2 linked regions of the Lepisosteus oculatus genome follow. The protein of the gene in region 1 purifies or fractionates together with the protein of each later gene. This does not show direct contact. Links are inferred from orthologs where the notes say so. Each region holds a gene or a part of one and is shown on either strand. Other genes may lie near its edges.

The links.
Region 2: the proteins of katnip (region 1) and cilk1 purify together in Homo sapiens (affinity purification with mass spectrometry; 3 studies listed by BioGRID and IntAct, with this or other methods). This does not show direct contact. The link is inferred for Lepisosteus oculatus from reciprocal best matches to the Homo sapiens genes KATNIP and CILK1.

Annotation. Positions count from the first base shown.
Region 1 is NC_090714.1:16,331,734-16,346,864, forward strand, and holds the start of katnip (katanin-interacting protein), read right to left. Parts: upstream 6,805-15,131; 5' UTR 6,149-6,804; coding exon 6,142-6,148; intron 6,123-6,141; exon of another isoform or gene 5,827-6,122; intron 5,653-5,826; coding exon 5,609-5,652; intron 4,392-5,608; coding exon 4,300-4,391; intron 3,819-4,299; coding exon 3,649-3,818; intron 3,430-3,648; coding exon 3,317-3,429; intron 2,432-3,316; coding exon 2,330-2,431; intron 1,870-2,329; coding exon 1,735-1,869; intron 1,146-1,734; coding exon 932-1,145; intron 738-931; coding exon 606-737; intron 1-605. Other genes in the region: dcun1d3 (DCN1-like protein 3), read right to left, coding at 10,436-10,922. UniProt on the Homo sapiens protein: May influence the stability of microtubules (MT), possibly through interaction with the MT-severing katanin complex.
Region 2 is NC_090712.1:19,307,396-19,323,019, forward strand, and holds the start of cilk1 (serine/threonine-protein kinase ICK), read right to left. Parts: upstream 6,294-15,624; 5' UTR 6,113-6,293; intron 4,036-6,112; 5' UTR 3,874-4,035; coding exon 3,773-3,873; intron 2,242-3,772; coding exon 2,187-2,241; intron 1,792-2,186; exon of another isoform or gene 1,772-1,791; intron 972-1,771; coding exon 850-971; intron 301-849; coding exon 221-300; intron 1-220. Other genes in the region: fbxo9 (F-box only protein 9), read left to right, coding at 7,736-7,738, 8,987-9,061, 9,777-9,911, 10,674-10,731, 11,222-11,321, 12,513-12,643, 13,109-13,223, 13,461-13,579 and 3 more.

The sequences.
Region 1 (15,131 bases):
TAGTCCCGTTTTCTGATTGCTTAACAGGGTTGACATGACAACAGCAACAATACGAGAAAGAACAATTGAAAAAGAGGACTGTAATGTTTAAAGAAAATACCCATTTATTCTTAATATGATCCCCCCCCCCGCCCCGTGGTTACTATGCATCTCAGACAATGACAAACCCGGCTAATTAAAAATATGGTGTCAAGAAAGCAAGCAGGCACAGCCACAGCTAAATCAGCACTTACAGCAAAACTGCATTACTGACCTTACAGACACACTGAAACGTTAACCTACTGCAAAGCACTGTTCAACGCTCTTCTCAGAATCGATTAGACAAGCAGACAAATTAGACAATGGAGCCCCACTCGGGCAGCTGTAAGTACATACTGAGAGATCCGGGGCCCACGTGCATCCATTTAGAAACCAGGTCGCGTCAGGAAGTGCAATGCGACCTCACAGAAATGGACAGAAAACAAACACACCCAGCCTCGCACTGCCTCTGTCCTTCCCCTGTGTGTAGCTCTGCATGTGCTAAACTAACAGGAGAGCTCCCCAAGCACCTGGGGAGAACACACAGCTGATCTTCTGACAGAGAGCCAGGCGGAGGAGCCCCTTACTCGCAGGATCCTGGGCCGGAGAGCGGGGAGGCCTGTCGCAGGCTCTGCCCTTCACCATCAGGGGCTTGGTCGGGATGTACGCGTCGATGTTGTCCCGCCTCTTCGCCGACAGGAGTCGCTCTTTTTTGGTACCTGCAAAGGCAAGGGGGAAGCTGCCCTTGAAAGACACGGATTGGGTGTCATAATTAGACAGGAAGGGACTGGCAAAGTCAGCTCCTGGCCTGTCCTCTGGGCAGCATGATTTCAGCAGCATGCCCTTACAACACCTCCCGTGCAATGCTATTTTGAGGAGCACGGACTCAAAGGCGCAGGCCTGGAACACGTACTTGAGGGCGAGGGCCCGAAGTCGAGGACTATGAGGTCTCCGGGCTCCAGGACGCTCCCCCCCGCCGCGCTCCCCTGCTCCACCCGCGCCGAGCTCCCCTCCCCCTCGATCCGCTCCTCCACCCAGTCCTCCTCGCCGGCGTCCGACTCCTCCCCCGCCGAGTCGCGGCTGCCCCGGCGCACGCACACGCCCGCCTCCAGGCTCTGGCGCAGCACCTGCGGGGCGCAGAACCGACGGGGCAAGACTTAGCAAACCCGCTCCTGAACCGGCCTGGCCCGATACAGGACGAAACAGGGTGGTGGGAGAGTGGAACAAGCTACCCAGCCATGTGGTTGAAGCCGATACCCTGGTTAGTTTCAATAAAATAGCTGGATGAGATCCTGGCATCAATTAGCTACTAACGAAATGGGCTGGATGGACCGAATGGCCTCTTCGCTCTGCAACATGAGATCTGTGACAAATGGGAACTGTAAGTAGAGCAGGTGTTAAGTGGCCTTCATGCTGGGCACCGGATCAAGAAATGCGGCGCTGAGGCTTGATACAGGCGGGCATGTAATACACAGAGCTGATGAGCTGCAAGACGTAAAGACATTTGGTGTGCTTTTCACGCTGTGATTTACTAAAGCTAAGAGAACAGACGCTAAGAAAATCAGAAGAGCTCTATCCAGTGGAAGCAAGCAAGAAGGTACTCCTCGAGCCTGAGGAAAAGACTGGAGGCATCGGCGATAACCCCGATAATACAGCTGAGCTCAAAGTAATGTCACAGGTAGGATCCACCAGTGGCACAGGAGGCGATGTGCTGACCTTGACCTCATCGATGTTGAGCAAGACTTTCTCACTGCATCCGGGCTCGCTCCTGCCCATCCGGGCCTCCGCCTTGGCGCTGAAGGCCCTGGGCACGTTCCAGCTCTCCCGCCGTGGAGACTGGGCACCGGACGTCTGGACAGGAGGAGGAGGAGGAGGAAACCCGGTTACACGCCAAACACAGCGCAAGACGCGTCCCATCACGCAATCCAAGCAGATGACCAAACTGATCACAAAGAAGCACCAGTGTGCTCTCCTGTATTTTCTTTACACACTGCAATTGCCAGAGGAGGAAGACGTACTGTATGGAGATACATCCGTCTACTTCCCCCTTTCATGTAAATGCTATACATCACCTGGCGCAGAATGGAGCGTTCATTACTTTGTAAAATATTCAGAGAGGAAAGGACACTGCACTGCATGTAAACATTTAGTGACATCCCATACCTCTGGGTCATGCAGCATCCAGAGACAGTCCCTCTATTAACTACTGCCCAAAGCCAAGGTCTGGCTAACTTACAGGACTGTGTCTTAGATACCCAGATGTGCAATAAAGCCTCACTTCACATGTCAGACCTCACAGGGCAGACCGTACCTCCATGTTCACACTCTCGTAGGCCTCAAAATCATCAGAGTAACGGGGACCAGGACCGATCCGAATCCGGGATCCCTTCTCCGTCTTAATGTGGATGGAATTCTGTGAGGGAAACGAGCAGCTTTTAGAACCCATCGTGCCCGATAATCCCGCCCTCTACAACTCAATTCAGTGGAGACCGACAGCAGTGACAAAGAGACTCCTCTCTCCGAGCATGACAATGCAATTAGGATAATTTACACTCGGCTGCGTTGCCAAACAATGACAGACAAGCCGGGGAAAACATTGTATCCTGGAAATTTCTAAAGCACTGGACACATTTGATTGAGCTCCCTTCAGCTCCACCTACTCTGCCACAGTAATGAATAGCTGCCAGATAAGCAATTATCCCCCAGAAGCATGTCAGCAGCTGAAAATGATCATTGCTTTGCTCCTCAAAGGCTTATTGTGAAGGAGCTTACTGTAAACGTAAAGTTGATACTCTCCTGCTGAAATTACACCAGTCTTTCCGCACCAACAAAGTCATTCTGTGGAATGATCAAGAATGCTAAATCACACCTCGGCACGCATGTCGACAAGACAGCGCACAAACACGAATGGTGCATCGAAACACAGGGTTTTACGCTTAACTGGATTCACCGTTAAACACACTCGCAGGCTTCTGAATTCACAGACGAAGAAAGGCAGAGAAGAATACAAGGGGACGTCTGTCTCAGATTCAAATGTTCTTTATTCCTTGGCATCACACGAGTCAGGAACAAGCCATAGGAAAATGACATCTGGACCTGGTTCAAGGAATAATAGTCCCGTCCGTCGGCAGAAAGCCACTTAATCCCAAGAACAGGCTGGGGCAATCCGGAGCCTATCCCAGGACCAGCGCAGGCAGGAATACACCCGGGACAGGGGACAGGCTGGCAAGCAAGAGGAGCCCGTGCTACCTTAATCCAACGTATCCATACGAGCCTTTTCACAGACAGGATACTCTACCTGCACCCATTCCTTCCTCTGGACCTTCCCGGGAGCTGTCTGGCTTCTCCGCCTCTGGGTCACTTCCGAATCCTGCAGGTCGTCCTCCAGGAGGAAACGCCCCTGAGATGCATCTGGGGGAACCACGACAAAGCACCCGCTGCAGATTTGCTCTTCCGGCTCCGTACAGGAGAGGTGTCCTTCGGAGAAAGGTCTCCCACCCGGACCCAGCCGATCGGAAAAGCGCGGCATATACCAGGCTTTGAAAGCACGGAGCATGACTGAGGAAGATGATAAAAGTGAAATGCACAAAACCCAAGTGGGCAGAGGAAAACGTGGGCGTCCCTGCTCACCTGCCGTTTGTGTCGTTCTGGAGGCAGACGGGGTGCAGGGCGGGGGGGCCGGGTTCTTCGGCTGCCCCGTCGGTCTGGAATTGGCGCCGTTCACATAAATGGAGAATCCCTGCTCCAAGCGCTCCAGCGCGATCTCCCTGGAGTTCTTGGCCTTCAGGCGCTTCAGGATCCTGGCGGGCAGGAACACAGCACTGCTGAGCAGGAGCAAACCTGCTGGTCACAGACGGGACTCTTGCTTTCCCCACAGGGCTGCAGTCGGCTGGACTGGAGTGGCGGGTGAAAGGGACAACCCAGCGCTACAGATTCAGGCCCACAAAGGGAAATCACATGCTGCCGCACGAATTCTCAGTGTGCTTTACACTGCACTGTAGGAGAGATTTCAGCTCAGGTTTTTCCAAAATCTTAAAATGAACATAAAGTCTCATGAGTATGTCTGAAATGTTATTCCGTAAAGTTGAAAACATTTGTTCGAGTAGACAACGGCGGCTTTCTTCTGGGGTTGTCCCAGACACCCCACATTTTGTGTGCGAGCCTGGCTCTCCGAGGTGTCACCTCAGCCAGCTGGGGGTGTATTTGACAAGCGGCCGCCCTCTGACTCTGTAACAGTAGACTGGGTGGCAAAAGAGTCACAGCACAACCGTCACGCCTCACCTGTTCCTGTGTTGAAGAGCGATTAAATATTCATCGTGTTTTTCTTCAATATCCGAGGCAGCGTGCTTCCCCGCTTCGATTCCATGCCAGCTCTTCACAAACACATCGAATGAAAGCAAAACAGTGCTGATTACTGCATGGCTCGGCCTTTCCTACACACATTTTCAAAAGCAAGAACGTGCCATCGCAGGACACACAACAGGGGAATCAGGCAAGCTCGGCGCATGGCAGGGAACGTAAGTACTGGGTAAAATGCAAAAGTTCTCCAAGAAGCATATTCTTAGAAACTGACAATCAGAAAAGAACAGATAAACTGCTCTCCATTTGAGTCTGCTGGAGCGTGTTTGAATATTGAAAAGCGGTGTATTTGGAAAAATTCCAGCAGCCAGTTTTACGCATTTTATGCGGACTTCACTGTTGTACGTGGAAAACCTGCAGGACAGGAAGATACTGCTTTCAACCGCCAGGAGAGTCATGCAAACACCCTGCAGTCTCGACCAGCAGAGGACTGAACTGCTGACCTCACAGATGAGAAACAAGGGGAATGCTACACCTGGCAGAAGGGACAATACTCTCTGACGCTGAGCAGGAGCTCAATGGCTAGAATGTGCAATTTAATGCCACGGAACTGTTGAAGAATGTGTTCAAATTTACACTGAAGCAACCGTTTTGCTTAGTGGGGTATAAAGCACACGTATGGGGTGAAGCAAGACCTTCTAAACAAATGAAAAAGACGGCAAATATTTCCCCCCCTCGGAGCTTAGCCCAGCTCAGCCCAGGAAAGGACCAGAACATCACACAGGACAAACAGGAGAAGAGAGACCCCCTTACTCAATCCCTGACAGGCAACTACAGCATCTGCAAGACAGAGGAGCAGGGAAGGAGAGAGGAGAGGGAACATGAAGAGAGGCACATCAGATAGCACGCAGCAGAAAACAGAGCAAGCAAGAAAAATGACAAGACAGCCAGACACGTAGTATTCATGCGTGTGTCACCAGCAGAGACCACCCTCTCCCCGGCTGTACATCCTGGAGCCCATACTTGGGCCTAGCTCGCTGGACCAGTGTCCAGTCGGAGGACAGTCATTCCACGCCACCATACCCTTCTCCGACGAGATGCGACCCCAGCTATAATTTGTGATCGACTGAAATCAATACCCCGTGCGCAGCGATAAGCATCAGTAGTCGCATAATCGACCCCCCCATCGCCACCCCCCATTATTTTAACAGCGCTGCTATTTGAGTGGAGCAAGCCCACCTCGACTCACGCTGAAGTATTCGCTGTCAAAAAAAAACACACAAGAAATTACCTCTTCCATCTCCGCCGGGCTGGCGCCGCCCCTGTCGAATTTGCCTGGATTCGTTTAAAACATCAGACAGAGAAAGAAACATTTTTAAACGCATGACTCTGTAAGTGACCAGACAAGAAAAAAAAATCAACATGTAAAACGCAATCTGCGGGTCTGCAAGGCGTCGGTGTTGCCGCCCTCTCCCTCTGCGGCCCCGCCCGGGCGGACGGACACCTCACCCGCAGTGAAAGACAACTCCACCCCGCGGCTACAGCCAGGGCCTACACCAATCTGTGTAGCGACAACGAAAACTGTAGTCTAAGGAAACAAACTACTTTAACACATAGAGCCGTGTGGACGATTAAGACGGAAGTGAACTTTAAAATACAGTTTTTGACCTGCGTTTTTGTTTCTTTAAAACGTTAGCTACACATAGCTTATAAACACACCACACACGCTCAGGTGTCTGCATTCGTGCTCGGATCGCATTTCTCGCAGAAACGAGAAAGATCGAGCAGAAATCGGCGTGTCCAAATGTAAAAGATCAAACTTACAGTCCATGTCATCGCCTTGACGAGGTGATAACAGACTCCAAGTGTGTTTTCAATGGGGACGCGTTCACAGCCCCGTCCGCGTTGTCATGCTGGTAACCAAGAGAGCCGCTAGCCAATCGCCACTCCGCCCCGCCCCCTGGCAATGGCGCGCTGACCAATGAGTCTGCAGGGAGACCCGGGATTCGCCACGCCCCCTTGGTGAAGACCGCTGGCTGACGTCACTGAGATGGGACCCACAACACTTCACCTTTACAGCAAATTATAAGGCCATGTGCGCTGGCAGGGAATTAAAAATCAGCAGCAGTATTTTAAATCTGGAGCCGACGGTGGATCGGGCTCTGTCTTAATTACTTTTGAAGGTTATGTGTTCAAATTCGGATCTTCACTTCCCAGCTGCATGTTGGAAACATGCAGAATCCAATTAAGAAAACAAAACTTTGCTTGCCGTTTCAATACTGGCCGCCAGAGGGCAGTACAGACAGTACATTAACTTCCGTTACAGTGTGTGTTGACATGTTACTCTTGAAGTTATCCTTTGCTTCAGCTGTTTTCCATAGGCATGTCACAGGTGATGGTCCAACTTGGCACCTGGACCCTTGGCCATTAATAATCCATAATTATTTAAGTGGTCCTCAGCTCCTGGGTTAATTGAGCAATTAAGGTCTTGGAAAGTTTAATGTCCTATAATGGCATAAAATTTAAATCCAAGATCCTTCTACTGCGTAAACCACAACACTGGGGTGCCAACACTGGTCCTGGGGAGCCCCACACCAGCAGGTTTTGTAGGTCACTGTTAAATCACCCATTTCCAATTTCCCTTGAACAATGACACAGATTTATTCCAGTGCCCATGTATACCAAGCAGAGTTTGGGATGCTTTACAGAGCAAAAACAAAAACACAAAAAAGAGGAAAAGAAGTATTATAAAAAGAACTAAAGAAAGATAAGAGATGAAAAAACATCTATCAATTCTAAAGTGATCAATTAAACAGGTGATTTGTAATAGAGATAATTCAATACTAAAATCTAAGAACTCACTAATCCTCAAGTACTAGATTTCCTGAGTCATCAATAACCCACAGGTGTGGTGAATCTTTAAAATCAGGTGCCCTAGGAGGAGGAGGAACCGGATTGGGGGCTCCCCTCGATCAGATCTCTTCTCCAGAGGATGACCCCCCCGAATATCGGCAACTGCGCAGCACAACAGGGGCTGTTGAACACCAAGCCTACTTGCAGAAAAACAGACCAGACAGCTCAAGAACAGGTGGCCATTCAGAGCATTTAGCTCATTTGCTTGCTAGATAGTTGATTGATCCTAGAATCTCCTCCAGTGAGTCTTGTGAAAAACGGATATTTCTAGAATATTTATACTCAAGATAAAAAAAAACTCAAAATAGATTTATTACATTACCATGTACTAAAAAAAGAATTTCCACTAAGACTGTATGTCTTTAAGTGGACAGCTCTGGTCATTTTACTGTTGGAAAGCATTTTTACTGCACTTTTAAGTTATTTAACAGCATGAGACTTAATGAAAATTATACAACTGTGGAAGCTGTTTTTAGATCCTATTTTAAAGGCTTATCATATGATGGCACACGTGAAACTGACAGATCTGTGTTGCCTTTTTTTGTTGGCAATTTTGTGCAAAACAACATGCGTTGAAGCTGAGGGTATCAGCACTGACATCCTCTTACAGTTTGTCAAAATACCAATCCATTTACTCTCACGATAATCCAGGAATTTGTCTTGCATGATCTAGGGATACCAGGAAACAGAATTTGTGGGGTTACATAACATCCAAAAGCAGAATAAAGAGGCTTTAAGGTGGTCCCACCTCTCCTGTGCTTCGTCCCTCAGCAGCTAGTGTCCCTGCCCTTCACCAAAGCCAGCCTCCTTGGGCTACACTGATGGCATTTCAGTTTTTGATACTGGCTAATTTATTTTTCTGCAAATACACTCTTACAAACGCTGTGCAAGTCAAGGGGAAAGTACCGTAGAGCCTCTGAAGCCTCCTTCGGTGTTTAATGAAGCTGCTGAGAGGACCTGTACCGATTCTTCAGCGCTGTGCAGGAGCAAATGGAAACAAACCGTTAGTCAAGGTTACACCCATCCAGGTTATCAAAGCGGATTGGAGAACTCTTCATTTAAACCTTGGTTTATTACTTGACATCTAACAAACATGACCTAACCTCCCAGTTCAGCCATTTTCACACTCTTCCACCCAAACGCAAGGACACGGTGTCACCGGGTGTGCTGAACTGGAGCGCTCACCTGGACTAGCGCCAGTGACGTGTACCGCGGCGCTTGTTCCCCTTCATTTCTCAGAAGGAAGAAAAACAACCTCCTGCAGGTGTGTCCCCGCGGCCCGCTCAACCGGCACCAGACAGCTGCAGCGCAGGAGATGGGCAGGCGCAGCAGTAAACAAGTGTGGGGCTCACACACCTGCCCTGATCTCTCCAGAGTGCCACAGCCACTCATTCCAGGAGTGCACACTGTGCTGTTAATGACTGCTGCAAATGGGCATTGGCCTCCAGATGATTTAAAACCAAACTGCACTCGCCTTCTGACAGCCGCCCCCCTATATATAGGCCATCCCTCTCCGGTGCGGATGTGTTTTTCTGTTGGCTTGCTGCCCTCCGGTCTGTCAGTTGTCACGTGCCGAAGCACCGCGGCGTTCCTGCTGTGCGCTGGGTAATTCCCCACCGAGCGCTCCCCTGGGGCCCTGGAGCTGAGCACCGCTGAACACACGCAGGCTCCCCGGGGGACCATACGGAGCGAGGGGCCTCTGTTCGCAGCCCCCTTCGCTGGTTCTTCCTGTGCGGCCACACGTGAGGGACGTGCAGGGGAGAGTGACCACCCCTCCAAGCTGCCCACCCGGACTGTCCAGGCGCACTCTGCAGGCAGCTAGGACAACGGGCTCCCCCCCGCTGGCAAGGGGCGCCCCCACACTGACCGTACCGCCACCCTGCAGGCCAGGGAAGTCGGGGCACCAACACAGCTCTGGCCAAGTGTACTTGCAGCAGTGCTGGCTGGGCCCATCCTCTCAGTGCACTTGGGTTCTCCTGGCTGTTCAGGAGGTGCTGAAGAGGGCCAGCTGGCCATGAAGATCACACACGGTCCGTACAGTGGGCACGAGTACTGGTACTGTGTGTACAGTACAGTCATCTCATGAAAACACAGGCAGTCAGCCATCACCCCTCCGCACTTGCTGAACACCCGCTCACCCCCAGCACACTGCGGCCGGGCTGTCCTTGTGAACCACTTCCTCACACTGGGTCCCCACAAGCTCAGAGGAGCCCAGATATCACCACCCCGCGGCACAAGGTCCAGCACTCAGCTTGGCCCGATCCGGACAAAAAAAGGGACATGCATCCCTAGAACAACCGTCCCGCCACGAGGGCGGTGCCCAGCCTGAAGCCCACTCCCCGGGATTTGCCAGGAAGTCTGGGGACCCCCCTTCCCAGCTCACAGCACGGCAGGTTTAAAAAAAACACGGGGGGCGTGGACAGGCCCGGTGGCGTTTCAGGGTCCAGTTTTTAATTATGCAAGGAACGGCTTTTAAATGATTAACACTGTTTTATTTTTTTTTAATATAAACCACTGCATTTTTTTTTATATTAAAAAAAAAAAGAAACAAAACCCAAAAAACAGAAGACGGGAGCCGCTGTGGCGGGTTGTAAACGGCACTATACCACCAGGTACAGGACTGCCCCCCCCCGCCCCCCCGAAAACACACGAGCTCTGGCACTGTAGTGACCGGAATACCAAACCCTTTCCAGAACGGACACAGGAGGAACAGGACGGGCGAGAGCGGAGGGGAGCCAGGAGGCTGGGCGGTCCGTTGGTCAGTCTGGGCCGGCGAGAGGGGTCTGAGTGACCCGGGAGGGAGAGACGGAGGAGCCAGTGTGGGGGTGGGGGGGGGGATTGGGGGCTGGGGGCGGCGCGTGTCCGATTTTTTTTTTTTAAAACCAAACCCATTAAAAAAAAGAAATTAAATTAATTTTTTAAAAAAAGTGCCTGGGGGGAAAAAAACCATACAGTATTTTTGGAGCCCTTTCGAAAAACACAAGGCATACGCAGGTGCTGGAGAGATTAAAACCCCACCCCTGTCCCTCGAAAATAAAAGAGAGGAAAAAAAAAACAATCATAATAATAATAATAATAATAATAATAATAATAATAACAACAACAACAATAATAATAATAGGAACAATAACGTTAATCTTCATCGGAGTTTTCAGAGATCCAGAGTTTACTAGGCCCCTCTCCCCTCTCCTGCAGGCGGACGGGCTCAGTCGGCGCCCCCCCCCTCGCTCCCCCTGTCCAGCTGCTCCAGCGCCGCTGCGCTCCTCCTCTCCTCCTTCCTCCTCCTCTCCATCTCCCACTCCACGAAGGTGTCGAAGAGGCTGGGCCAGGCCTCGTCCTCGCTGTAGTTGCCGAGGTCGGGCCCGATCACCTGAGTAAAGTTGAGGAACATGTTCCACGTGTCCCGGGAGATGCCCTTCACGCCCGACGGGTTCTCCGTCAGGAAGTCCAGCCAGCGCTCCAGGATGCAGGGCGTGTTCTGGGTGAAGACCAGCCGCCAGAGCGCGATGGCGATGTCGCGGTGCAGTGACCGCTGGCCCTCCTCCGAGTCCAGCCCGAACTGGAAGGTGAAGCGGTACAGGTCCTTGAACTGCTCCTCCGCCTGGGCCTCGCGCAGCAGGCAGGGGAAGCGCGCGTGGATCCCCTCCAGGCTGTCCGCCCTGATGGCCTTGCAGCCCTCCACAAACTCCTTCCTGCCGTCGGGAGCACAGAGGGGCAGAAAGACACACACTGCGTTAAGAAGCCGCACAGCACTCCTGGATCAAGCACTTGACATCCTAGCAGCATCTGAAAATTCCCGCGAGATGTCTGTGACCTTGCAGAGGCTGGTCAAATCCCTCGTCAACAGCTGCAGGACACTAGTGGGCCGGGAAGCCTGTGCTTTCTCAAATCGGACCTGCCGGAGATATACAGCCACTCTCTCCAAAGGCTCTGTAGAGTGACCCATCCGCAGACCACTTATTCTGTGTTTTCAGTGCGGCTGGGAAAGGGAGATTGCTAAGCTTTTAAATACTCCAGATTCGTCTACAACAGATTTCATGTTGGCGATGAGGGAAAAAAAAACAAAACACATTTGTTTCCCTAGACATCCTGACCTCTGCACACACAATGAACTTGCACACTTGTACCGTAAAGGAGAGGCATGCTGCCTACTGAAGAGGCAAAGCCCGCTCCATGGGATTGTGGGATTGGACAGATGAGTGACAGATTCACGCTCACACGGGTGACACTGCTCATTCAAGACTCCCACCGCCCCACATCGCAAACCCAACATGAAAAACAAACTTCACATTTCTCATCCAGTTCTGTGCCGTAACAGCGGCGCCAGCCACACGCGCCGAGACCTTTAAAACCGCGTCTTGAGGTTTCTCGCACAGGAAAACAAGACGACACCCTTCCCAAAACCCGTGTAGCACAACAACCTCTCCAAGATGTATAGATAGATTCCGAGACGCAAGGCGGATGAATACCACCTTCACTGAACATGCATGTAAAAAAAAAAAAAAGATCTCGCCACATCCTGTGTATTGAATACGCGTCTTCTCCCTGAGACTGACGCAGACCAGTTTCGGCTCTTTACCTGAAGTTAGGAGGTGATTAAGTAGGGCAGAGGCAGAACGGCACAGAGTTGTAAAAGCCGCGACTTGATCACGGCTCCCTGAGACACAGGCTGCAAGCTCTAATCAGAGCGAAGCAGGAACCACAGAGCAATTAAAATACCATTGATTCCACAAGCAGATGGTGGGGCTTGGGGGATCAGAGTCACTGCACATTCAAAGAGTGCCGTACCGTTTCATGTGGCAGAGGATCTGCAAGGCAGACAATGCTACACAGAGCCGTTACTGAAGAGGACTGGCTTACAAGAAAACACAGATACCCCCCCCCTACTTTGCACAGCATCAGAAGGAAGAAATTATCTGTGATGTGAACGCCGCTCATTTGTAAATCCGATATATTAGTGGTGCCAGGCTCAGTGATAGCGCCGTTCTGCCCAGGTGCTGTGGTGCACCATGATCTTGCTCTAAAAGATCTGGCTTCTTTGTGTAAAGTGTCGGAGCTAAGAACAGAGTGCTGCACCTGTGGTAAGAAGCAGGACCCCAAGCACAGGTCACCAACAAAAGCTGACAAGAAACCCACTCTGGGCATGAACTACAGTATATTTTCAGCTGTAGCTTCAGGCCAAACTAGGAGAAGACAAAGCACATGAGGTTTCTGTCCTCAGTGGCAGAAAAGTAATGTTGCCATCTGGGAGTTAAAACCACAGGCTGCGCCGCCTCGTCTTCAAAAGTGCTGCATGGGCACTGCACCACAGAATCTGACCACCACCATTATTCACAGAAACCCCTGGCATCTGTCCTTGTCTGCCCTTCGCAAACACACGTGCGCTGATATTTGTGAGCTGCAGGCCAGGGATGAGTGTGTCTTCCATGTGCTCTTGTGAGCTGCAGGCCAGGGATGGGTGTGTCTGCCCTGTGCTCTTGTGAGCTGCAGGCCAGGGATGAACGTGTCTGCCCTGTGCTCTTGTGAGCTGCAGGCCAGGGATGAACGTGTCTGCCCTGTGCTCTTGTGAGCTGCAGGCCAGGGATGAACGTGTCTGCCCTGTGCTCTTGTGAGCTGCAGGCCAGGGATGAACGTGTCTGCCCTGTGCTCTCGTGAGCTGCAGGCCAGGGATGAACGTGTCTGCCCTGTGCTCTTGTGAGCTGCGGGCCAGGGATGAACGTGTCTGCCCTGTGCTCTTGTGAGCTGCAGACCAGGGATGAACGTGTCTGCCCTGTGCTCTTGTGAGCTGCAGGCCAGGGATGAACGTGTCTGCCCTGTGCTCTTGTGAGCTGCAGACCAGGGATGAACGTGTCTGCCCTGTGCTCTTGTGAGCTGCGGGCCAGGGATGAACGTGTCTGCCCTGTGCTCTTGTGAGCTGCAGACCAGGGATGAACGTGTCTGCCCTGTGCTCTTGTGAGCTGCAGGCCAGGGATGAACGTGTCTGCCCTGTGCTCTTGTGAGCTGCAGACCAGGGATGAACGTGTCTGCCCTGTGCTCTTGTGAGCTGCAGACCAGGGATGAACGTGTCTGCCCTGTGCTCTTGTGAGCTGCAGGCCAGGGATGAACGTGTCTGCCCTGTGCTCTTGTGAGCTGCAGGCCAGGGATGAACGTGTCTGCCCTGTGCTCTTGTGAGCTGCAGGCCAGGGATGAACGTGTCTGCCCTGTGCTCTTGTGAGCTGCAGGCCAGGGATGAGTGTGTCTGCCCTGTGCTCTTGTGAGCTGCAGACCAGGGATGAACGTGTCTGCCCTGTGCTCTTGTGAGCTGCAGGCCAGGGATGAACGTGTCTGCCCTGTGCTCTCGTGACTGCAGGCCAGGGATGAACGTGTCTGCCCTGTGCTCTTGTGAGCTGCAGGCCAGGGATGAACGTGTCTGCCCTGTGCTCTTGTGAGCTGCAGGCCAGGGATGAGTGTGTCTGCCCTGTGCTCTCGTGAGCTGCAGGCCAGGGATGTATGGATGACTGTGTCTGCACTGTGCTCTTGTGGCCTCTGTGTCTGGTTCCAAACACCTGTAAGAGCCTCAATAGTGGACAAGCTTTACAATTCACAGCTTTGCGTGCCCTTGGGTACTTGACAGGCGCCAACATCAGAGCCCCCTGCCTGCCAAACCACACTTCCAGAGCTGCGCAAAATCCCATTCCTTTCTAAGAAGACAAAGCCAGCGTTCAAGGAGCAGTCCCACTCCAAGTCCCCAAAACTCCCTCTTCCCATCCCCACCCTCGCTGCAATGAAGCAAACTCTTTACATCTTGCTGGACGAATGCAACAGATTCTATACAAACAGATCAGACTACAGGCGTGTTCATTATTACACTGACGTGCGCTCTGTACCTAAATATACCGGGTTGCTAAGGGCATCTCTTTAACAAGTCTACTGGGGGAAGGTTGTTTTGCTGGCTTTGTGGTTTAATTGGTTGAAGCCCCACAGTGACCAGGTCTCACAATGTTTCACATAATGGGGAAGAAGAGCTTTACCAAACTGGGCAGCTCTCATGAACAAACAGCAGCGATGCCACTTTGTAGCCTGATCTTGTCAGCTCTTGGAAACAGAGCTGGGCGAGGTCAGTACCGAGACAGGAGACCACTACACAAGACCAGGTTGCTGCTGCAGGAGGTGCTAATGGACCAGTAGTTGGCGCTTTTCTTTCTGGGCCCGAAGGAATTTGCAGTTGGCGATTGGGGACAGAGTGCTGTAGGAGGTGTTGACCTTCAGGAGAGACAGTCGCCACTTCCTGGGGTCATTAAAGATCAGTTCGTAAAAGCAGGTTGTTAACCCCACTTCCAGTCTGTCCTTCCAACATGAACAAATTCCTGAATTTCCCCCTTAATTAAAATGAAACCACTTCTCCATCTGATCTGCTATTTAGCGGGCTGGGATTATTGTTTCTTAAACAACGAGAGCTAGGCCCGTGAGTGTGGAGCTGTTGGTGCGTTTGTTGAACCCAGAATGGCATTCAGCACAAACCCACTGTACGAGCCAGTGTGTGCTGGACCCTTTGTGCGAACAGCGTTTGATGAGATTGGTCTGGGGTTTTTAATTGCAGTGCTCTTTCTGTGGAAGCAGTCAGCAGGAGGCCCCTGGCAGAGAGAATTACCGACCCTGTGGGGGACTTACACAGTATAAATATTTCAGCTGGAAAAGCTAATCAAACGGAGCTGCAGTTTCATCCCTGACTGTGCCAGGTCAGCCACCGTCCACCTCTCCCGTCCAGGAATCTCGCCCGTTGAAGAGGAGGAAATGGATATTAGAGGGGTGACCAGCAGGTAAGCGATATCACTGTGAGTCACAACTAGTGGGGCGTCCCTGAAGACTGGGTGGTCTGGGAGCTCCTAGGAGCCTCAACCTGTGTGCAGCTTGACCTTCAC
Region 2 (15,624 bases), on another chromosome or scaffold:
CAAAGCACTGGCAAACATTATTATATCAATACTTAATTATAGTTAATGAAGGCCTAAACCATTCTGGAAATAATTTCACAGCGATACATTCAACTGCAATGAAGAGGACAGTTTTTGTTATCACATTCCAATTAATTATCATTCAGCTTCTTTATTTAAGAGTTACATGCCAACCCAAGTATACAAACAGTTATGTTTTCAAGCGTGCAGTGAACCATACCATGTTTATGAATAAATGCCAATCCTTGTAGTATCTGGTACATTATATTTCTCACAGCAGATTCAGGGAACAATCTACTCCTATAAATGCAAAAAATAAAGATAGAGTTTATTTATAATTTATCTGACTGCTTATACCGTACAGTATGTAAACTAGAGTAGGTGGGGAGTTGCGTCAGCATGCACAGGCTGCAGAGGAACAAGTAAAGGTTTATTCCTGCTGAAAAGAGAAGAGAGAAAACACAACGTTTCGGCTTTGGAGCCTTAAGTTGTGTTTTCTTTCTTCTCTTTTCAGCAGGAATAAACCTCTTACTTGTTCCTCTGCAGTATGTAAACTATATTTATTATAATTAATAAAATTATATCCTTACTTGAAAATGCGGAAACAGGGATATGTCCAAAGGCTTAACGCATTCTTTGTGCTAACAATTCTACATTCAATACAATCGCTGGATTAAATTTGTGATTTATATTATATTGACTATAGTGACATCAAAATATCTATTAGTTGAAAAAACGTTATACTCATCAAAAGCTAAATAAATACAAAAATACAATATAAATACAGTAAAAACAATTTTTACGTTCAGGACATCAAGGGACAGTAAAGGAAAATCTTGATCAAAATACCTGTCTTTCATCAACTGGTAAAGGTTTTCCTTCATATACTCAAACACAAAGTAGAGTTGGTCATTTTCTCTGATGACTTCCTTCAGTTTGACTACATTAGCATGATTCAGTTTCTTCAGGGACTACAGAGAAAATATAAAAGCCTTTTTAGTTTCAGGTTTACATGGGCTGCATAAAATGTAAGGTTAAATTTACAAATAATATGGCACTTGGATGAACCATTAGTACTAAACCTGAACTAGGTGTGCGTTGCTTTTTGACCACAATAATAAACAAAACTAGGCACGCAGAAGATCTTCTGGAACATCTTGATTCGTACCAGAACATTACTGCCTACGGAGCCGACGTCAACACACAGGCACACTGTTGGACCCCTTCACAAGTCGCCACAGCACAGGGGTTATGCACTGGGGGGAGGGGAGGGTGGGAGGTTCACAATCACATGCCTATGAATACAGCTCTTTGTCACGTTCTGACTGCTCACTCGAACTTGCAATTTATTTCCGAACCGAGCCAACGGAATGCCAACGTCTTACAAAATTAAAAATGCAACCATGCAGAACTGAAAGATGGGGGGGGGGGGGGGGTTTGACAGGAAGAAGGTACGCCAAGTGGCTCCGCGATCAGGAGGATTTCCCATGCACCCGAGCGCTGATGAGCTTTATCGCAGACATGCCATGACACGGGGAGGTGAAGTCACACGGGCTGCAGAGAGATGAGGAGACAGGAAGGCATGCTGGGTAGGAAACACCCAACTGCACTGCAGCAGCTCCCACTGAACAGGCATCCCTAAACCCCCCCCCACGCCCCCCACCGCAGCAGGACTCAAAGGGGGGGGCACCGTCTACGGAGTAGATTCACCCCGTGGGAAAAGAGGACCCAGCAAGACAAGTAGAGCTAAGGGTTCACATCAGATATCTACCGTATTCTCTGTGCTGGTTTCTGGGATGTGGTGACATTTAAATGGAGCATTCAGAATTGAAAGAAAAAAAGCACATACATTAGACATTCTACATTTATGACCTAGTATCTGGTTTTTTCCCCACTTAACACTGTGCCTTAGCTGCCATATGTTTAGTGCCAATGTTTTTAAGTTCAACAAAATCTGATAACGGACCTATTACAACAAAGAATGAAGAATTTCACTTTCTGAATTTTACCTAACACTTTCACCACCACTGGAACATTCATGTTGTGGATCACTCAGACATTTACACACTGCTTTGTGCCAGAATGGACCGTTCTCACAATTTACAGTTCTCCCAGCAGAAGTATTCAACCTTGCTTGCAACGAGGACATTTTATTGAGACGAGAAAAAAGAAGGCTGACACGTTACCTTAACCTCTCGCAGGTTCATGCATTCTTCCCAGGAATAGAACTTCCTTTTCATTCTAGGGGACAGATTAAAGTTGACATAATGACAGCATGAAAAACATCACACCTGTATGCATGGTCTTTGGAAGAATATACTTTCACTCCCTGTACACATACATTCTGCAAACTTCAATAACTAAAAAGAAGATGTTTACTGCGAAAGGTACTGAATTTACAAAATGCACTCTGAGCAACAGCAGGAAATGTAGTTACAAACTATGAGCTCAGAACAGATTACAAACGGTAAACTTGCTTAACTATTAAATCAATTATTCCTTTCACACCTTTTGATTATTTTATTCCTAAACTGCCTAGGACAGGTTTTCATGCAAAGATTTTAGAACTTTTACAAGTGTGCATGTTACACGCATGGGTGAGAACAAACACTGGAACACATCAGCCCAGATACGGAGCTGCTTCTAAATCTAAGACAGACCTCGTATGTAAATCATGTGATCACAAGAACCTATTCATGAAAGGCCAAAATGGCAATAAACATCATGCAACATGTTGGATATGTAACCTGAAGGCCCCCCGTATTCTTTAAGACAAAGGCTTGTAATACGAGGCTCACTTTGTGATAAACGTCTGTCAGCCTTGCACAGTTAAAAATGATTTCTCCCTTTATATGACATTTGTGGTATCTGACCAATTCAAATTCTGAAAGAGCTGATGCCCTATTCTAATCTGAATGCAAATACAGTGGCTCTGTAGTTGCTGCAAAACCCATTTAGCCAGTCCTGTACTCCCAGCTGTTAGCTCAGACACACGCTCCTGAGTGGACAGCGATGATTTATCCAGACCTATTGCCCAGAGACGGGTGCAGAATGCAGTCAGGTGATTCAGGTAAGGGGGGGCTCCATTTCAAAATTTCACTGGAAATGTGGTGACACTCATTTTATCCCAAACTTCACATTTATTATTTTGCATGAAGCATCCACCCCTCAAGGCTCATCTACAACAAGGGCAAAATTAAAGGGGTCACATTCCAATAAGTATTTTTTTTGTATTATTTCCTTCATGCTCAATTCTTATTTAAATTCTGTTTTCTGTATAAATACTTTATCTGTCATACTTGTTCCTCTTCCGGACTCATCCTGATTAAGATGTAGCAGTCTATGAGGGAACAACAGCTTAATCTCAGTATATTACACACTGTAATAGACCACTGAGCACTGGATGAGTGCAACGGCCCTCAACAAAGACTTATATACAGTATATAGGATCTTCAAAACACTGAACTTGCCTTCGTCAAAAACATTTTACCAGCTCAGGAAACATCAATTAAATCAGGGCAGGGCACTCACTTCACTTACTGCCAGATAAAATCAGCACTTGCCAGCGTTATGAAAAAATAAAATACAGAACAGCTGTTTGCAGAAAGGGTATGAGTGAAGCAAAAATAGCAAACCCTTTAAAGTCACAATTACGCCCTTTAAATGAGGTGACATTTCAATAAAAATGTGACTGGGTTAAAATGTCCCGTTTTACTGTTGACACTATTTCCAGGGAGAGGAAAGAATCTTTATAGAAACCTTGCTTGCTTACTTTTTAATAGCAACCAGTTCTCCCGACTCCAGACTCCTTCCCAGAAGAACGGACCCATAGGTCCCGTCTCCCAGCTGCTTGAGGGTCGCGTATCTATTCATGGCTCTGTCAGCATCGCCCAGGAGACGGGGGTCTGCTTCATGGAGGGTGCTCGGCTCCCTCCTGTTGAGTGCAGCCAGATCTTTCTGTGACAACAGCAGTGGACAACAGGCCGGGCTGCACACAGGACTGCAGAACTCATATTTTCACAGGCTGTCCTGGACCTGCAGAGACGAAACAGGCACAGACAGGACAAAAGACTTGACAAGCACGATCAAAAATGGGGTTTATTCTCTTAAATAAAAGTACAGTTAAATCTTCACAATATATTTCAATATTTCTAACAAACACCCTCCAAACTGACACAAATGGTGACAGTTCACATTTATACTCAAGTGCTACAAAGCTTAATAATAATGACTAACAAGTAAGTTACTGTAATATCAAGTCTAAAGTAATACTCTGGTTCATTTATTACATACAAACTCTATACTACTATGTAACATACTATTACATACTCTCTCACAGTACTAAAACCACGCTCTCATGTTTCAGTGATGGTAGCCCAGAGATAAGGCAAGCAGATGGTTCTGGAGCCTCCTTGAAGCGATACCAAATGTTTTCAGGCTCCGATCTAGAATATATTATGTTATTTTTAAATCTGGTTATAAAACCAGACCTAACAGAGAACTGTACAAGTACGCATTTCTAACACTTATCAGCAAACAAAACTACAGCTCAACACCTTCATGATCAATGACTAAACCCAAGGAAAATATCCAAGATAACCATCAGACCAATAACAGAAATACCCCGATTCCGCCAGTACAGGCAATGTTGATCTTTTTTTGTATTTCTCCCAGGAAATCATGTCTTGTTTAATGCAATGTTTTCTGGAATGCAAAATGCTAATGTTACTCCTAAGGAATTTTCTGCAACATAATGAACAATACAGACTGCTTCTCCCCGCCTTGCTAATGCTGAAGAATGTGTCCTCACAATCAAGTTAGAAAAAAGATGTATTAGCAATTCAGGAAAATCAGTTGCATGATATTCAGTGCTTGATTCTGTCGGAGACAATATTTTCACAGTGTCTTCAGCACACACATTTGCACACTATTCTCTGTAGGACACACTGATACTATCCAGGTTACTCTTTATTGCAAAGTCTACAGAGATACAGAAACAAGCTTCTGTACTAAATCTAGCTGGAAAGTGGCAACATACTGAGGTTTCTGGGGTCAGTAATAGAACAGCCCTGGGTCCCACATCTCTCTTTAACAGTGTCACAGTGCACGCCAGCACCACAGCTGGAAACAGCCTGTAAGCCTCAGATATCTCGGAACCATTCATTCATGTTTAACACTAGCATGGGAAAAGATGTCCGAATGAGCAAAACGATAGAAGGGATACTCTTTACGGCTGGTCTCTAATAAAAACTGACCGTGCTATTGAGCTGTAGCCCACGAACGGGGGGGGGGGCTGCATTTCTTCCCATTTTCATTCTGCATCTGCTCATTATTTACAACTCCCCAGTATTGAACCATCTATCACTTGGCATCCGTATAAAACTGTACCGGTATTCGCCCATGAGAATGGTCTGTAGCCCCTGAACACTGAACATGGCACTGTACGTGGTGTGATTATCTGCAAAGACACCACAACTGTCCGGGCGAATTTCCCAAATCTCGAGTTGGTGTAGGGGTAGTTGAATTCTGTATAGTAACACTTCTCCAGACTTTTCCGTTTAAAGCAAGCCAGTGATGTTCTTGCAGTAAAAAACAAACAACCCCAACATGTCTTAAAATAACTCATTAACTCGGCTGCACCTACTGTATTTCCTTGTTGGCAAATGCCAACATTTCAGATAACAGAGTTGAGGAACAGAAACGCACACCCCTGCTTTACAGATATAACAAGGGTATCAACAGAAAAGGCCAAAAATACAAGAAAGAAAAGAACAGCGGGATTATCAACAGGCGGACAGATATCACAACGCAATGATTTTTTTATCCCCGTTATTTCCATTATTACATCTGCTGTATAAAAAAAAAGCTTTTGTTTCGACTCCAGGAAACAGAGCGAAATCTCTTTTCTTATTATGTTTGGACTCACACGGAGCCATGCGTTTGATCATCAGATCGGTGAGCCCTGATTTATCCTTCGCCCCCCAAATTGCATCGGGACAAAGTTTGCACACTTCTGTGTGTCTGGACCGAGTCCTGCATTATATCACTGGACCTTCTCCAACGCTAACGGAAACGGGGCAGGCCCCCTTCGTTTGCAACGAGTAGCACCTACCTGCAGAGTTTCAACAACGCAGCGCACTGACATCTGCTTACACGCCGGTGAGCACCAACACACCCAGACAAACCCCTGGTCTTCGGGCGTCAAGCAAACATGGCGCCCGGGCTCCCAGCGGCGGAGGGCGGAGCCGCAGCGCCGCCTGCCCGCCTGCCCGTCCGCCTGCTCCATCAGCCCTGCCGTTTCTCCGGCACAAACCTCTCTGCCAAGGAAAAAAATAAAGGGGGGCGAAATATCCCTGAACACCGGCCCCCCCCCCCAAAAAAAAGCACATGCACACGGGGGGGAAAACGTTAAGGGACCCTTTGTTGTTCCAGACCGGTACAAAACCAAACCCCTAGCCTTATTGTTAGCTTCATGTTCGTATTTTAATAAACATGATCGTACAGTATATGAAATTATAGTAAACCGTATTTTTTAAAGCGCCCTTAGAAAGTGGCCTCTCACAGCGCTTTGCGGTAAGGAATAAAAAGGGGGAAGGGAAAGGAGAATTCAGGTAATATTACCGTAAGGGTCTGGAGTACAGCAGTAAGGACGGGCACAACTTGAAAACAGTCAAAGAAATAAAGCAATCATCCATCCATTTTTAATAGCTTTATTGAATACAAGGTCACCGTGGAGCTGGAGCCTAACCTGGCATGTAAATTGTGCAAAGCAGGGTACACCCAGTCAGTGCAGGGCACACAGTCACCAACACTCACACATGTCCACGGCTCCACACAGGACGCTCACAGACGTCTTTCAAACACAAGCACATCAGGACCAGGAACATGGCATCCTGCAATCTGTTTTATTTCTCTGTGATAAAAGCCACGGGTGTGTAAACTCACAGGCTGCAGTAGCAGACCAGCTGTCTTGGGCGCAAACAGGAACCCTCCCCAGGGCACAGTCACAGTCTTGACCCTTCTCAAGAGCTCGCCTCACCCGGGTGTCCACACTGGTTATTCTCTGAGCCGATTCTTAGCACTTATATGACTTGTGGTATATATATAAATGCGAAAGAACAAGTAATTGTTTTATTCCATGCTGAAAAGAGATTAAAGAAAACACAACGTTTCGGCCGTGGAGCCTTCTTCAGGTGTGAGCATTGAACTAAACCTGAACCACACCTGAACGAATTGTATACATGTCCAAGACGGTATATAATATTCTAAATTAGGTATTAACATAACTTTCCTTGATTTAAATTCTGCCTTTATATATCCTAACATATGGTCTTCTTTAATCGCTTTCTCACAGCGTCTAGAGGCGAAGAGAGACATTCATTTTCTTTTTTCAGGGTTTTAGGGTTTACTACGCCAGACGCGATCACATTGTGCACCGCGCAGACCCCACGCGTCCCCCGGCGCTCTGTCGAGCGGGCTGCGGGCCGCTTCGCGTCGCGCTCGGCTCTGCGTGTCCGCGCCGGCTCGCCGTCCCGTACGCTTCCGCGGAGGCGCCCTTCCCCTGCGGAGCTGCGCCGAGCCCCGCCAGCGACCGTCCGACATGGCTGCAATGTGGAGAGCTCGCAATTTCGCCCGCTGCGTCGTCCGCTTCTCCGACCGAGAACTGTACTAGACTGAGCCCGCTGAAAGAGAGGAGGAAGGGACCGACAGGAGACGCTCACGGCTATATCACGCAATGGTAAATAATACAACCGGGGTCGTTGCTGCGGCTCAAGTGTAAATCATAAACCAACTGGTGGCTCTGCATGACGTGTACCTAGGCGGTGTGTCAGTCACCTGGTGTTATTTACATCTCGGGTAACTATAAAAAGTAACACTGGTCAGCCTCGTACGCCAGTTTCTGCAAAGGTGCGCCTTCTGCCAATGTTGTTGGTTATTTCCACGCCATATATGTCTCGTTTTGAAGTGAATGCGGAATTGAGTTCGTACTTACAGTGAAGTTATACAAAGTAGTTGTTTGTGTAACTACATTATCTAACGTCTGCATGTTTCCCACTTGCAAGTCCAAGTATAAACGTCCTTATCTGAGCTACCAGATACTGATAAACTGCCGGACATGTCTGCTTACTGTTTACGCTACTGAATCTTGTTACAAAAGTATGAGGAAGCAGAATATATTCGTTGAAACTTTGAAACAGGTGAAACGTAAACGGTTTTCATGCTTTCCAATCAATACTATTTACAACTTGCAGATTCGAGTTTCAGCAAACTCGCTCATTTAATGCGGGGAAAGTAAGCTTAAACAAGCGAGCACCTACAAATATCTTGTTCGAATTTGACAATACTGTTTCTTAATTTACTAGCAATTATAAATACTAAAATACGACCGAAACCAGTACAAAGTAGAAACTGGGAAAGCAGATATACTTTATTATAACAGTTAAGATGCTTATCAGAGTGAAAGTGCTTATTATGTCAGACGTCTCTTAAGGATAGTTCGTTTAAACTCGACTATTAGATGAGTAACTTTGCACGTAATTACAACAAAAATTACTTAATTGCTGCATTGCATTTAAAAAAAACAAGAAAAAGTCCATCAGCAGTGAAATCGGTGTATATTTAATTTGCAAGTGTCTTATTAACAGGTCGTGCATTAGGTTTGTTTTCTGTGCTGTTGACAAACCTTGGTACTCTGTTAGATATGGATTATTGATGTGATATTCTAGGAAATACATGTACAGTCGCAATCAATGAAAATATATATACTCTTTGTTCAACCAAATATGTGATTTGGAAGCTGTTTCTCCTTTAAAACAGCCACCTGGAGAGTAGGCCCGACTGTTATACTGCAGGGCTTGTTGTGAGGCTCAAGGGACCTTCAGCTGAGGTCTGTGTATTCTCTATCCTCCCCCTGGGATGCCCAGACTAACATGTATACCTGTAACACATTGCATGTTTGCAAGCTCACGTGTCTTCATTTCAACAGGCAGAGGGTGAAATCAACTCTGCGGGTACTGTAAAAGTGGAAGAAAATGAAGAGTCAGGTGATTCTGACCTTCAGGTTAGTACCATCTCATTTTTTATGTCATGTGGTTCTTGAAATTCCTCAGTGTTCGGGCACGCATTCTTTATTAGGAACTGGTGTAAGAAAGATTCATTAGTGGTTCAGAAAGTGGTGCTGTTGTGGGTCTTTTTGATCTTGCTTCAGTACAGTCTGTAATACAGGCAAATATTCAATAAATTATCCCAAACATAGAACTAAACAACATTCGTTTGGAATTCCACTATGAAGCTGGAAATGTTGTGTTTGAGACAGATCAAAATCTAATATTGGCTTCAAGGCTTGATGTCTTATAGCCCTGAACTGACACAGGATTTTCCAACAAATGAGCAAAGCTCAAGTTTTCCACAATTAAGAATCAAATAACTCACCTACTACTCCAAAGCAACTCTTGAATTTCACATATACTTCTAGCTCATCGTGTAGAGCTTTTGAATGTGGTGTTTGCGGTGTGAGCTTCCACTTCGTGGTGAGCGTTGGACACGGATGGCACTGCAGAGTCCTTCTGGAGATCTCGAGGCACCTGCTTGTACTTCTTGGGTTGTCACCTGTAAAAAATACTTAGAACCTCAGATAGAAAAGTCAAGAAGACTGACTTACAGGGATGTGGAATGAAATGTGGACGGCGACTCGTCACAGAGCGTGGCCCGGTCAGGTGGCACTAAGGGTGACGGTGTGGTATAGAAGTCGACCCCCCGGTGTCTGGTGTCCGCAGGTGGAGCTCAGCGCCTTCCGGGCACAGTGGATGTCCGAGCTGATGCCTCCCGCCGGCTCCAGTGGTGCTAACAGGGGTCCGCTGTCACGCTCCGCGGATCTGAAACGGAAACAGGAGATGGCCCGAGAGGAAAAGGTAAAAGCAAATCAAAGCGGTTTGGCTTGCTGAAAAAGTGTGTGTGCATGCTGTACTGTATGAGCTCCTGATTGAGGAAGCATTAACCCAGCCGCTGGCATGGTCCAGCGGGCCGTGAATTTATTTTATGTGATATATAATATGATTTTATTATTTGCCCGTTATGCCCGGGCGGGTCAGGTGTTATTCAGCCCTCCCTGTCCTTGGTTTCCCCAGGAACCAATCCCATTTACACGAGGGGCTGGAGTCCACCCTCTCTCAGCCATCTCGACCAGATATTTAAACCTCAGCTTGCCACTTTCCTGGTGCTCTGCTATTGAGCAGCTGTTGGTCTGGTGATGCTCATCGCACTAAGAGTTCCTGTTTTGCGTAGGAAAGGCAGTTTACTTCTCTGCCTGCCTTAAGCGGTGCCTGTCCCAGTCCACAACTGGCATGATCCTGATCCCGCCCACCCTGTTTTCTGAGTGCGCACCAGGACGCCACCAGGCTGTCCTGTGGGTCCCGTCGGTCCCCCATCACCGCTCTGAACCAGACAGCCCTTCCATCCCTTTCACTGTGTCTCGCAGATGAATCCCTTTCTCCTCAGGCAGCGGCAAGCTGGCATAACATCGGCAGCCTAGTGTACAGCAAGTTCCCAGTCCACTTACTGGACCAAATAGTTTTGCTTTGGTCACTGGTAAGCAGTTGTTTACCAGTGACCAAATAACGTGTACATAATATAACGTGTGTGATAATGTATGTTGATTATGTGCCCTTTCTCAGGCCAGAGAACTGTTCCTGAAAGCAGTAGAGGAGGAGCAGAATGGAGCTGTTTATGAAGGTGAGTTAAGCAGTGCAGTTTTCTAAATGGGCACCACGGTGGCATTTAGTGCTTTAGTAAGTGCTGCTGCCTTACAGCTCTTGGGCCCAGGGTTTGTTTCTGGATTGGGACCCCTTTTGAGTGGAGTTTGCATGTCCTCCCTCTGTTACAGGCTTTCTCCCGGAGCCTCCCGCCCAGGGTGCAGGCCTGCTTTGTGCCCTATGCTTCTGGGACAGGCTTCGGGGTTGCTGTGACACTGTGACAAGAAAAAACAGCTTTCTGGTGGTGGATGGATGGGAGTTTTCTAAATGAGATTTGCTACCGAGAGACAGACATCACAAGTAATGTTACACCAGTCAGAGACACAGCTGTCTGAGGGTCTTTAGCATGGTCATCAACATTTGATATCCTGTATTTTCTCACATATTACTTGTGAAATCTGTAGAATCAAGATTGTTTAAACATGTTAAATGGGTGTTATTTAACCATGTGTAAAATCTTGTGGTTTCAGCTATCAAGTACTATCGAAGAGCAATGCAGCTTGTGCCTGACATTGAGTTTAAAATCAACTACACGCGGTCTCCAGATCCCGATGGAGTTGGTGTAAACTAGTATGTGAATTTATCAGTTATTAAAGGCATATTGAAAGGCTGTCTCTGGTGGAGTAATTGTAAAGTTGTAATCGTTGATGGTTTCTGTCATTGCAAATGCTAAAAAATCAACATAACTAATAATTATCTGAAATATACTACTGTCATTACATTATAAAAGTTTTTAGGAGCATTAGTATTTAAAATGATGTCAAACTTAGTATGTTTTAATGGCTGGGCTGTGGGATATGAAGGATACACAGATTCATACTATATGAAGATCTGGGACAAATATATTGAATGTTACAAATGTTGTAAATAAAGAGTAGTCTCTACCTTTATAGAAATGCAGTTAAGGTGGAACTATTGATCAGTACTGATGTAAGAAAATACCTAGTGATGAAGTGTGCTGGTGGTATCACTTAAAGGGGAACTGCGGTCTGATATTTAATTGGTTATTAAATCTTGATACCAAAATAAATTAATTGCCGTTATTAAAAAAAATGACAAACTTTGAATTAAACACAATGAACTTTGTGAAAGTACTGTAAGTTTACGTGTTGTCACAAAGCCCTGGTCTCGTCACGTGCGAGAGCGAGAGTTCCCACGAATTGCAAAGCACCTCAGCCCTTCCTGCTCGCTAGTCACTGTACTGACTAGTGTGATGCGAAGTACGAGCGACTTAAGTACAGGTTGTGCAGCAGATATTTAACCACAGAAGTGTTCAATGTGGTCTGCATGCAGAGTTAACAAGTAGGTTCCTTTTTTCGGAAAAAAAACGTCTTTAAGTCGAGAGCAATATTTTTAATGGATTAAAAGAGATGAATTCACATGTTTACAATGTAATAAGGCCGCATCATGTCACTGGAAGTTTTGTTGCCTCTTTCTGAGTCGCAGAACATGGAGGTTTTAGAAGTTACTGTGTGCGTTTTAATTTTATTGTGGTTTCTTTGTAACCCTGAAATATAAAAATAGCATTGCAGTTCCCCTTAAAATAACCAGTTACTTAAAATTGGCAAACTGAACAAAATGGTTAACCACTTGCTGTTAAAATTGGGTTAGCACTAACCCTTTAAATATCCAATTTTTATCAAGTGCCATGAAAAATACACTGCAAAATATATCCCAAATAACATCAATAACATTCTCTTTTAGCAGAAGCTAAAACTTTTTTTTCCCCAATGATTTCCGTATTTGTTTTGTGGTTTGCAGCATGGACGAGAATGAAAGTGATGGTGAGGTAGCTGATCTGCTGACCTATTTCCAGCAGCAGCTCACTTTGCAGGATTCATCTCTGAAGATCTGTCAGCCAGAAACTGATATAAGTCAGATGCACATTTCAGGTAAATCATCACCTATTCCATGAGTATCTGATCACAAAAACTTAGGAATTCTGTTTCCATTCTGCACTGCATGTCAATCAGTTCAATGTAGCAGAAAAGTGAAAAGACAGTATTAAAGAAACTGATTTATGAATGGAAATTCAAGTAAATATAATGGTGTATTAATATGGACGTTTTGTGCATATTTAATATACTATGACGTAAAGGAGGCTTCTCAAGAGCTGCATGAAAGTATGCCCATTTTTCTACACTTTAATAACTGTAATACTTTATCAGTACTGTGGAATGTTTTCACAGTCTGTTACACATGTATGAAACACGATTAGAGCACTTTTAAGGAGCACCTTAAAATAAACGATAAGTGTTTGTTTTACGTGTTTTGATGTAATTGGTGTTTGTGTAAGTTACTAGGAGGCTGTGTGGTCCTGTGCAGTTGATTGATGATCCCACTGGTTCTGTCACCAGCTCTGCCGTTGGAGGTTCTGATGTACATTTTCCGCTGGGTAGTGTCCAGTGACCTCGACCTCAGGGCACTCGAACAGCTGGCGCTCGTGTGCCGTGGCTTTTACATTTGTGCCAGGTATAAGCTTTGCAAATCTTGTCAACCACTTCTGCGTCAATGTCTAAAATCAGTGATAAGAGGTGTTATCAAGCAGTGTGGATAGGAAGATGGAAATAGAGGGGATCTGGTGCACTTTAAGAACAGTGAAAGCAAAGTAAATGCTTTGCCACTCACTCGGATGTTTTCTGCTTTAGTGTTCATGGTAACAGATGCCGGTCGCTTTAGAAAATATATTTTTAATCTGTACTTTTTCAGGGACCCGGAAATCTGGCGTTCAGCCTGTTTTCGGGTTTGGGGACGGAACTGCACCAAAACTAATCCATTTAACTCCTGGAGAGAGATGTTTTTGGAGAGGCCCCGTGTGCGGTTTGATGGTAATGTAGTGGGAGTTCATATTTTAACATGGATCTGAAAGCAGATGATTGATTCAATCATATTTCAAAAATCCATTTTTCTTTGTCCTATAGTGGCTGAGTGTACATGATGTAACAAATGTGCAATAATTCACTTAAGATACCTCACCAAAGTAGAACACAGGAAAGTTAAGGTGATGGAGCAAGGAATTAACCCAGCAGCTTTGCCAAAATGTCACAGAGCAAAAGAAAAGGCGTCTGTGGCACTGTTGATATCTCCTTGGTTAAAACTCAAGTGGCAGGATGGCATGACAACTACAGCTCCCAGATCCTGGGTTGGATATTGGAATGGGGTACCTACTGTGTGGAGTTTGCGTGTTCTTTCAATTTTCTTATGGATTTTCTTTGGGTGCTCTCATTTCCTCAGATCTTCCAGAGACCTTGTAGTAAAGTTATCTAAGGTCTCTGAATTGCTTGCTCATCTAGGTGTCCTTTCGGTGCATGTTCTGTGATTGGTTCCCATTCCTGGTCCTGTTGACCCACACTCCTGCTGGTTTTCATTCCAGCTGAGCCCTCAGTTACACAGTCAGTCCCTTCGTTGATTTAAGAGTGGTTTGCTCCGAGCTCTTAAACTTGTTTGTATTCTGTAAGTGAAATTCACCAGGACCAGGACTGAGAGCAGCTGGACTAGTGCCTGGTCAGGGAATCAGTATCACCTCGTATCCTGTGCTTCTTCAATAGGCTACAAGTAGCTTTGAATAAATGACTTTCTGATAATAGATGGTCAAAACCTAACTAGATGCAAAGGCCTTAATTTCGTGTGTCCTTCTAGGTGTCTACATCAGTAAAACAACTTACATCCGCCAAGGAGAGGAATCCCTGGATGGATTCTACAGGGCTTGGCACCAGGTGGAATACTACAGGTAGGCTTGTGTAGGAGTGAAAGAGCTGAGTTACCTTCTTCTTTACTGCATCTGTCTTCATAGCTGGTTAAAACTGTGAGGAAGACCTGACGCTGGTAACTGTTCCTGAACAGGTACCTGCGCTTCTTCCCTGATGGACAGGTGATGATGCTCACCACACCTGAGGATCCTCTCAGCATAGTTCCTCGTTTACGTAGTAGAAACACCAGGTAAAATGCATTTAAGACCAGCGCTTTAGGTGCTTTAGCTTTAGCAGAATTGAGGTGTTGAATGTATGGAAATATATTTAAAGAGAAGAGCTTTGTATTAATCCTACAAGTATTCTAAATGACTAGCAGGATAAAAAGTAAACTTTATTTTGTGTTGAAACTATTAGTTTACCTATTTTGCTTCAACATGTTTTTGGGTGTTCTGGGTATTGAGTATTGAGTTCCTGAAGTTATTCTGGATATATGAAATTCTGCAGACGCCTTTTTTTCTTTGACATGTTTCTCTGAAATTTCTTCTGGAAACGGGAACTTCCTGACAAGAGTTTGATAAGTGAGGATTAGAGACACTAATAACTCACTTGTTTCAGAACATATCCCACTTCTCTTACGTCTGCAGCGCACCTGCCCGATCTAGAAAATACTTTGTGTGATGATTCTTCGGTGGCAAAAGTGTTGCCGGCCTTCCGCACACTAAGTGTCCTTCTGTTCTTTTCAGAATGGAATCTGTCCTGCTCGGTCATTACCGTCTGTCCCAGGACACAGACAATCAAACCAAAGTTTTTGCTGTTGTTTCCAAGAGGAAAGATGAAGTAAGTGGAAACGCCTTTAGCTTTTTATTGACTAGTTTTCTGAACTAATCTACTTTGATACATAGATCTTGCATTTACTGTCATTGATTTGTGAAGTTTAAGCAAACCTTGTCTATTAGGCAACTAGAATAAGAAGAGCTTAGGTTCACCTGAAATATGTTAATTTTGCCAAGAAATACTGAATACTGTAAGGCAGTGGTTTCGTAATGAATCTTGTTTAAAATTAAATGTAAAAAAGAAGCTCCAATACAGAAAACTAGTAAACTTTTTTTCAAATTCCAAATGAATGCATAATTTCATAAGGTGTCTTGCACTGACTTACAGAGATGTAAACTGTGTACTTA